Saccharomyces cerevisiae S288C: one gene and its partners. Changing the gene in region 2 together with the main gene of any one other region gives a genetic interaction. Each region holds a gene or a part of one and is shown on either strand. Other genes may lie near its edges.

The links.
Region 1: mutations in YBL036C (region 2) and NCE101 together harm fitness more than expected from each alone (negative genetic interaction), as found in Saccharomyces cerevisiae (2 studies listed by BioGRID).
Region 3: mutations in YBL036C (region 2) and DAL1 together harm fitness more than expected from each alone (negative genetic interaction), as found in Saccharomyces cerevisiae (2 studies listed by BioGRID).

The regions. Positions count from the first base shown.
Region 1 is NC_001142.9:49,603-52,381, forward strand, and holds NCE101 (Nce101p), read right to left. Parts: upstream 842-2,779; coding exon 810-841; intron 667-809; coding exon 537-666; downstream 1-536. Other genes in the region: YJL206C (uncharacterized protein), read right to left, coding at 1-333; RCY1 (Rcy1p), read right to left, coding at 1,027-2,779. UniProt on the Saccharomyces cerevisiae protein: Involved in a novel pathway of export of proteins that lack a cleavable signal sequence. May be part of the export machinery or may also be a substrate for non-classical export.
Region 2 is NC_001134.8:149,912-153,117, forward strand, and holds YBL036C (pyridoxal phosphate homeostasis protein), read right to left. Parts: upstream 1,310-3,206; coding exon 536-1,309; downstream 1-535. Other genes in the region: APL3 (Apl3p), read left to right, coding at 1-375; DNA-directed DNA polymerase alpha subunit POL12, read right to left, coding at 1,582-3,206. UniProt on the Saccharomyces cerevisiae protein: Pyridoxal 5'-phosphate (PLP)-binding protein, which may be involved in intracellular homeostatic regulation of pyridoxal 5'-phosphate (PLP), the active form of vitamin B6.
Region 3 is NC_001141.2:405,758-409,330, forward strand, and holds DAL1 (allantoinase), read right to left. Parts: upstream 1,886-3,573; coding exon 503-1,885; downstream 1-502. Other genes in the region: tyrosine protein phosphatase YVH1, read right to left, coding at 1-210; DAL4 (allantoin permease), read left to right, coding at 2,711-3,573. UniProt on the Saccharomyces cerevisiae protein: Catalyzes the conversion of allantoin (5-ureidohydantoin) to allantoic acid by hydrolytic cleavage of the five-member hydantoin ring. Involved in the utilization of purines as secondary nitrogen sources, when primary sources are limiting.

The DNA of each region.
Region 1 (2,779 bases), on a different chromosome or scaffold from region 2:
TATAGGGCCCTTGCTATCTTCCCGTTCGTGGGAAGCTCTCTGTGCATATAAGGAACTATCATCGCTTACTTCCCTATCAAATACCGATGAGTTCCGTGGGGGGCGATCATATTTGCATTCGTAACTATTAGTCTGGCAAAGTCTACATGGTATATTACCACTACATCGTACTTTCCTCTTTCTGCAAGCTATGCAAGCTCGATGTGCTCTTCCTTTCGTTGGCTTCAATTCGTTGGTGCCCGCATCTCTAGATAAAACCAAAATCTTAGATCTCTTGCCTTTCAACTTCTTCATTGCACACGAAATAGGCTTTCCAGATTCTTTCGGCGTCATCTATTGAATAATTCTTTGGTCTAAGTTGTATGTATTACTCTTTAAATTGAGACAATCAAGGAAATCACACATATAAAAATACTGTGGATCTGAAAGATTGGGTTTTTATAGGATAAATGCGTATAAAGGTAGATCCTAGGATTAATTATTATGGTATTTACATATCGCCAGAAACTTATATATACTCCCCTCACGCCGGATTATTATTTGCGATCGTCCCATCGCTTCTTTATGAGCTCGTGTAAATGATGACCTTGTGGACGCCCCATTTTCCTTTCGTACACATAGTAGCTGAGACAGCCTACCATAATTGCCAATAACGGATCAGAAAATCTGCAATAGAGACCAGCTTGGGAAAGAGCACATCGACTTGTTTGATGTTGCCTCTTCGAAACAGCAAATGGTTAACTATGCGTTAGTAAAAGAATAAGTGTGAAAAAAAAAAAAATAGAATAGCGTATGAAGAATGAACATACTTTCCTAATAGAAAGGGAGCGTACTGAACCATGTTATCGATGATCTTGTGTGGAATCCTCTTATAAATGGAGTGAACATTTGTATGCCCCTTGTGTGCGTGTGGCTAACAGGGAAAAATAGAGCCCGCGTAATCTTGAATAATCTAATATGTGAACAGTCTTTTATTTCCGCACTTCATACCTATATAGAGTAATATAATTAATCATTGATAGGAATTTACATAATGCAGCAATCTCGTATGCCTAGGCCGTACATTACCTTTTCAACGTCTTTCCGTACACGAACCCAATCGCTTCTCCTCTGAACAAATTCATAAATTTCCTCTTGCGTAAAAATGCCATTGAATTTCCCAAGATCAGAAATAAGCTTTCCCAACTCTTTCGAGTCCTTGCCTGAAATGATGTATAACTGGCCAATAGACTTAAGCCCAACAAAATAGGGAACAACATTTTTTTGTTTTAATTTGTTAGCAATAAAATCGTAAAAGTAATTTAAATCGCAGATTAACCAAATTGCGCCCTCCGTAGATATGAAGCACTTCTTCAGATGTTTGACGATTTCATTAAAGAATCTCTCGCCAATTTCTTGTTGGTACACGTCAATAGTACCCTTGTCTGTGGCACCAGTCAGTAGAAAGCAATGATTAGAAAGTAACTCGACTACCCTGATAGCACATTTGGTTGGCTTTATATCCCTTATTGGAGAATTCCTAGAGGGTGGCGGTGGATTATAATCGTCAGGCAATTGAAGAGTCTTGAATACAAATGAGATTTCATCCATTAGTTTGTTTATACCGATATTTAAACCTTCGGCTACAAAATCATCGATAGAAGTCTCAAAATTTTTTTTTAATTGGATAACATCATTAAGAAAATCTTTATTTTTATCGATAATTTTTTTGGGAATCAATTCGTTCTTGTAAAAAATGGAAATCATTTGTAATATTATGTCACCTATATTGATAAGTTCAGTGAATTGTACTAAAGGTTCGACTTGAGTATTGGCTGGCGAAAGTGAATTGAATTTTATTTCTATTTGTTCTATTTCGTTAGGATTATATTTTTGTAGTAGCAGGATTGCCTTTTCAAATGCAGGTTTAACGTGATTTTTATTCAATTGTGTAATTAAAATTTTGAAAATCTCTTGACAGCGTAGCTTGATCAATGGTAGCAAACTTTCAATCGTATGAAATTTGTAAATTTGATCCGTCTTTTCGCTTGTTTCCTGTAAAATTTTGTAACATAAATCGAGACTTATTAACGATTTAATGTTTTGCAAGTTATTGGAAATTAAATTTAAGTTGTAGGCTAGTTGTAGTTGTTGCTTTAGCCTTTGATTTTCATTGTTCGAGAACTTGAAAATCTTGGTGAAGGAACTTAGAAAGTCTAGTTTATCATTAGAAATATCAGTTGAATGAACTGATTGATGGATCGTACTTGGTTTTGAATCCGCTTCTGGGACAGTTTTGGAGGTTTCAGTAATTATTGAGAGGTCATTCGGCAATTCATTGTTACTTGCACTCGAAGCATCCGTTTGATCTTTTAAAGTGTTATAAATTTTTGCGTTTTGCTCACGCTGCTTGTCTTGAACTTGTGTGTCATAATTAGCTAATTGTGAGTTGATCAATGATTCAAATACTCTAGTTGTCTGATTCATATAGTTGACAACAAAGGGCTCGAGATACAGGTTTAAAAGGTCACGAACAACTTTACGGAAATTTGCGCCTGCGTTTACTGAGTCGTTTAATTCAGTATCAAACTTTTTTATAAATGTGAAATAAAGTTCGGGTACGCATTCATAATTGGCTTTACTATCCTTTCCATTTTCTTTTAAAAATTCACTATAGCTTAATAAGATATTGTTTAAAATATCTAATAAAATATCTTGGATAAAGGACTCGATGAACTGTAATATTACAGGGAACTCATCTTTGAATAAAATGTCCGCTAATTTAATCTTTTCGTTGAGG
Region 2 (3,206 bases):
TTGAATTTGGCACAGTTCATCAGCCGTTGGAAGACTTTGAGCGATGCTTTGGGAAAAGAGGGAGAATACCAAAAATCTGGCATAAAGCTCAACAAGGATTTTAGAAAAGTTGAAACAATCAGTTTAGAAGACGGACTTCTACTATTGACGCAAACAGTGAAGAGGTTGGGCTTTGATATAGTCGATCAGACCAGTGTTCGTAGTACATTGTTTGTCTCGGGTATTATTCATACGAAAAGTGAGGGAAACTTCGGTTGTTTAATGAAGATACAATACCAGGTAAATGGAACAGTTAATGTTACCTGTAAAACAACGACGGCCGGTCCCCTGGCGAAGTACATTGTCGAATGTATAAAGAATGTGCTTACGAAGTAAAATTTTCTCAAATTCACTATAATGAAAATCATCCGCATTGTACATATATAAACACACACACACATATATATATATATTTGAGATTCTATTTATTTTCATTTTGTGTTGTAATGCTATAAAAAAAAAGATCTTCGTATAAAATCTCAGTTCATTCAACCTACTAAATGATTCTAGCTTCATTTTTTGGAGGTCTAGCACCAAAAATGTCGGTACCAATTCTGACTTCCGCTGTTCCTTGCCTTATAGCCTCCCTGAAATCAGCACTCATCCCCATAGACAATTTCAATGATGTACCAAATTTAGCATCAATCTTCTTCTTCCACTCAACCAGCGTAGCAAAGTCTCTGTTTTCTTTGCTATCTTCATGAGAGACGTTCCATGAACCAATAGTCATTAACCCATTCAACTTAATATACTTGCATTCTTCGGATAAGAAGAAGTCGATGACTTCAAATATTTCTGCTTCATTATTCAAGCCCGATTTTTGATCCTCATGGGAGGTATTAATTTGAACATTACACAATATTGGGTTGCAATCTGGTTGAAATTTAGCCCTCGATTCGTTTAATTTTTTGGCTTTCTTCAAGGAGTCGATTGTTTCAACAGAGTATAAATTTGGCACTTTAGCCAAATCTTTACATTTATTCGTTTGCAAACCGCCAATAAAGTGCCACTTGATATCGTCTGGTAGTAATTTTGCCTTTTCGATCAACTCTTGAACATAGTTTTCCCCGAACTCCCTCACACCATGGTCGTAAAGAATTTGTATATCGCTAGCTGGTTTCAATTTCGAAACAACCAATAATAAAATTTTGGAGGCATTTTCATTAACATGAACATTTTTTGCCTCTGCATTCACAACTTCCCTTACAGATTCGTATTGGGCAATTAATTGTGTCTTTCTATCTTCATCATAAGTAATACCAGTGGACATATTGCAATGTGATGCTGGAATCTTAGTCAAAAAGGAAAGAGTGATGCCTATCAGTTTTTTTTTTTATTATGCATTTAAGAGTAGTCTCTACTTATGAACATTTTCTCTGGCCTCTGATCACGTTACTTTATTACCCGGATACTGATCATGTTATGGTCTTTAATCAATAAGTAAGTTATAGAGCCAGTTTCAAGGTCGATAGTTCAGGTGTATAACAATACTTTTTGGTGCTACCTTGAGCTATTCCATTAGTTAAGTTTGAATTAAATATATCAACTAGCAATCAAGTCAACTCTAGCGCGCTTCCACACGTTGTGTAGATAAACTGGCTCTTCACCTTCAACAAGCGTCAATTTCCCGTCTTCAAGATCAGGGCATTGGACAGTAATTTGTGCATAGGATCCCCTGTTACCTGTTGCTCTAATAAATCTTCCGGGATTTATAACAACTACGTTTTGGACAACTCTTGCAAAGTGTTGTAATTCACTGGGTATAATCATTATGTCAGGCGAGAACCCACCAACAAACTCTGTTAGTCCCAGATAACTCACGTCTAAATCTGCACCAGATATATGTTCATAAACTTTTTCTTCTTTGCTTTCCATATCATTGGTTTCCTTCTTCGTAGATACGTCTTTTGGTTTTATTCTTGTACGAATACTACCTGGAAATATGGGGTAATACCTGCGCTGTTGTAAAATATGCTCAGAAACACGATCTAATCTATATCTTGATGAGGTAGTACCGCCTTTTATGACTTCCTTTAGATCTTTGAATGTATCAACGTTTGAGCAACCGAAGTATATCTCATTTATTTGAAAAGATGAAGGATTAGCCATGCATTTGAAGTTCCTTTTAGGCAGCTGTAAAGCCTTTCTAATTAAAGAAGCTTGTGGATATGCGGCGTGATTAGAAATTGCATCTTTTGTGGAGGGTATCAATACGGTTTGGATATGTGGTGATATGGTTTTTAGAATAGGAGTAAATAACTTCAAAAAAAGCTCGTCCAATGTTTTGGGCTGTGTCTTGAACTGGGGAAAATTTGGCAATTTACCACTCGCTATCAGAGGATGGGTGATATCTATAAATGGGCCAAACATTATCAAGACGTGAGGTTTTACCTCATTATTTATACTATCGATAAATTCTTGCAACAATTCGAGGGAGAAGTTATCATTTGCAAAGTATGGGCCACAGGTCACGATAACCTTCAAAGAAGAACCTTCCAAATTTGCTTGAAACTCCTGCAGTTCCTGCGATGTGGACACTGGGGAGTTTGGATAAGGTAGCGGCAAAATAGAGTTAACGGTGAAGTAATCCCCATTAGCATTTTTACCTTTGAATGCCACAATTTGGCCTAAGAAAAACGAAAGCTCGTTGACCTGCGATAGATCTAACCTTACCCTTCTTCCAACGCCGCCCATTCTTGAGGTCTCTAGGGAAAGCGATTCTGGATTCAAAAACTTGTCGTAGGTCGGCGAATCTGGAACTATCCTTCCAACAGCATAAATTTCGGACTGAGATTGAATAGTTGGATCAGCGAAGTCGTTTGGAGATAACTTATAGTGATTTTGAATAATCTTAGTAAACGATTCAATTTGATCATCGAGGACATCAGACGCTTCCTGTAAGTTTTGCCTCATTGTTCTGAATTTATACTTTTTAGCATCATAAAATGGTTCTACTTTGACCTGGTTATATGATGGTTCTTCAGTCGAAAGAAGGCCTACATTTGGATTACCAGATGATATTTCAATATTTTCAGGGTTCAAAGAATCCAAAATTTCACCAGCAGGAACATTTTGCCTCGATGTGGTAGGAGTGTTTGTTGTTGGAGTTTGGAATGTCGACGAGCCGGGAGTCTTGGCATCCGAGCTTTTAGCGTGGGACAATGGAG
Region 3 (3,573 bases), on a different chromosome or scaffold from region 2:
ATCATCATCGATGGGTATGTTTTTTAGCGTGTAACCTTTCCTTATTAGATACTCTGGAATGACCTGGAATTTGATAACAGAAAGAATATGAGTAATGTTAAATTCTGCACCCAATGGTCTGTGGTCAATAATTGGACGGATTCCGCCAAGATATATGCCTCCTAATATCCTGGTAACTTCCTCGTCTACTGAGTTTGCATTTCCAGCCATCTTCCCTGTAATTTCTTGCTGCTTTTACTGCTTTCTCTGCGTTATACCTGTATTAGATGCATTCGATGAGCTGAGGTATAATTTTTTTTTTCAGTTAGATTTCTTTTTTTTAGCGCTAAGAAAATTTCAAAATTGCAGCCGTGGAGACCCAGATGGATATATTGTAGATCATTAAAAGTTGTGTCATCTCAAACTAAGAGTGGTTAATATATGTATGTGTGTAAATAACTTTTTATAAATTTGTTTCTTTTATTTCTATAGAATTTCTTTAATAAAAATTTGCAACTTTAGTTTAACGTCTAGAATCAAGCAAAGTTTGACCCAATGGTGTTTTCGAGACTCCGTTGGCATTCGTATATACCACCTGGCCTCTTAATATGGTTTTCAAAACTGTGCCCTTGACCGTCATCCCGTTGTAGGCAGTCAATTTGTTTTTGAAGTAGACACTTGAATTACTTATTTTATGTTTACTTGCAGTATCAAATACCACCAAATCAGCATCGTACCCGGGAGCTATAGTGCCTTTTTGGTGAGATAGTCCTACCTGATGGGATGTATTTTTACAGCACCATGTAACGATATCGACCAAAGAGCAGCCTTGGGTAAACATCAATGGCAAACCTAGTCCGACGGAAGCGATTCCTCCCCAAGAATCGAAAAAGTCACCTTTTTGCAAGTTCTTCAACTCAGGGGTGCATGGCGAATGGTCGCTCACTACTGAGCCTATAACACCTTCACGCAAAGCGTCCCATAGGCCTTGGCGATTAGACTCAGAGCGGATGGGTGGACAACATTTAAAGTAGGTGGCTCCGTCTGGGATCTGCTCTGCAGCAATACACAAATAGTGGAAACAAGTCTCTGTTGTGACTGGTAGCCCTGACGCACGTGCCTTTCTGATCAAGGGAATTGCTTTCATTGATGCCAGATGAACTATATGTACAGGAGGAACTGGTCCATTTCTGGCTCTCAAGCATTCGAGAATCAAATTGATGGCGTCTATTTCGAAAGAATCCGGCCTCGAGGACAAAAACGAAGAATATTCACGATGGCTTTGCTCGGGTTGCTGTTGGTCCTCATGTGCCTTGGGCAACTCAGCATGAAACATCATCATGGTATCCTCCTCGGCTAAGACCTTCAAGGCTTCTTCTATATATTCTTTGCCAATTGGAGGGAATTCTTCCACACCAGAATCAAGCAAGAATCCTTTGAACCCGCGAACGCCAGCTTTGACAAGCGGAATTAAGTCTGGCAAGTTGTGTGGTACCAGTCCACCCCAAAACCCAACATCGCACCACATTTGGCCCTCAGCAGCTTCCAATTTAATTCGGAAATTCTCCACATTTGTTGTGGGAGGAATAGCATTTAGCGGCATATCAACCACCGTTGTGACCCCGCCACTAATAGCAGCTTGAGTTCCAGTTTCGAATCCTTCCCAGCTAGTCCTACCGGGCTCGTTCAAGTGAACATGAGAGTCCACAAGTCCAGGCAGAATTGTACATGGAGATACGTTCTCCAGCGTATGTATTTCATATTTGGTTATCTCAGTTTTCTCCATAACCACGGAGCCTTCTAAAACATCCAGAATCGTGCCTGATTCGGTCGAATACACAATAGTCGCAGGTTTATTTGCACCATTGATAATGACATGGTCGGAAGTGATGGCATTGATAGGCATCTTTGTTCTTCGCAGTATTTCACTTTTTTTTTGCCTATACGTTTTTGCGAAATATACACTTTTCTAACCTAATTAAAGATAGCTAAAAGAAAAAGGGGTACCTTCAATTACAAGATACCAGTAGAAACTCATCACTTTTGCGTTACCTCATCATTGTCCCCTTCGATGAGATATGCCTCCTCTATATAGATAATTAAGCACCGCAATTTTGAACCACTTCTCCTGATAAAGTTCCATCAGTCCACCATCAACACATTTGCGCCTATTCGATGATCCGCAGTAAGGGACAATAGAATCGAAACATGCAGTTCCTTTCTTTCCTGCAATTCTCGGGTCTAATGTGGCTCGAGGGTATCTCTTATCGGTATTACTTTCTTATCAATGAAAAATTTCTGCCAGGGAAAATGCGCCCGCTTTTTTTCCGGCCATCCTTACTCGCTGTCGCATACAAAATAGCGCCTCTAATCTAGTTGCGATAAGGAATGTGTATGTGTAATTGAAGATCCAGGATGTTTTCCTTTTCAGGGAGATGAGAAGGAATAATAGGATGGATTGACCGCTTTGCTGTCACGTCGATAAGGTTCCTTTAAAAATTGTGTCCAATGATTAGCATAGAGAGGTAGAGTATCAGAGAAACAAGTTTGTAATCGAGAAACTTGATCTGCTAGTGTTGAGCATAGAAGGCTAGGAAAACATGGGGAAGAAAAAAAAAGTATAAATAATTAGCTTGATGAGTAGTTTGAATATATATGTTACTTTAGTTTCCCTTTTTGACCTTTTATATTCATCTACATCTTGTGATATAAAACATCAACAAAGACGAGAATGGCTAACGACGCTCTAAGTGCTATTTTCAGTAATCCTTCGAGGAAAGGTGTCCAACCCTCCACATCTATTGTGTCATATACAAACAATGAAGATGATATTATAGATGTGGAAAATGGGAAGTTCAACAAGAACAAGAATATCAACACTAATGTGTATGTGGACAACTCCTCAATAGAGGAGAGCGAAGTCGTGCCCTTGCCCGAAACAAAGTCCATCTGGAGTAAAATATACTACGATTTCATTGTGTTAGACAAGACAACTTTGAATGTTTCGTTGAAAGAGTCGTTCTTGTATAACAGAGACTTGAAACCGGTTGAAGAAGAAAGAAGGTGTTGGTCCTGGTTCAATTACTTATATTTCTGGCTGGCAGACTGTTTCAATATTAACACATGGCAAATAGCTGGTACAGGTCTACAACTAGGTCTGAATTGGTGGCAATGTTGGCTTACAGTTTGGATCGGCTACACTTTTGCAGGTATCTTCGTAGTATTGAACTCGAGATTTGGTTCCGCATATCACTTATCTTTCCCTATTACTGTTAGGGCCTCATTTGGTATATTCTTTTCTATGTGGCCGATTATAAATCGTGTCGTGATGGCTATAGTATGGTATGCCGTGCAAGCCTGGTTAGGTGCAACGCCCGTGGCACTGATGCTAAAATCTATTTTTGGCAAGAATCTGGAAGATAGAATCCCAAACCATTTTGGTTCTCCAAATAGCACTACTTTTGAATTCATGTGTTTCTTTATATTTTGGGTGGTCAGTATACCATTTGTCCTAGTGGCTCCTCATAAAATCAGGCATTTATTCACAGTAAAAGCAGCTTTGATCCCCTTCGCAGCCTTTGGATTTTTAATCTG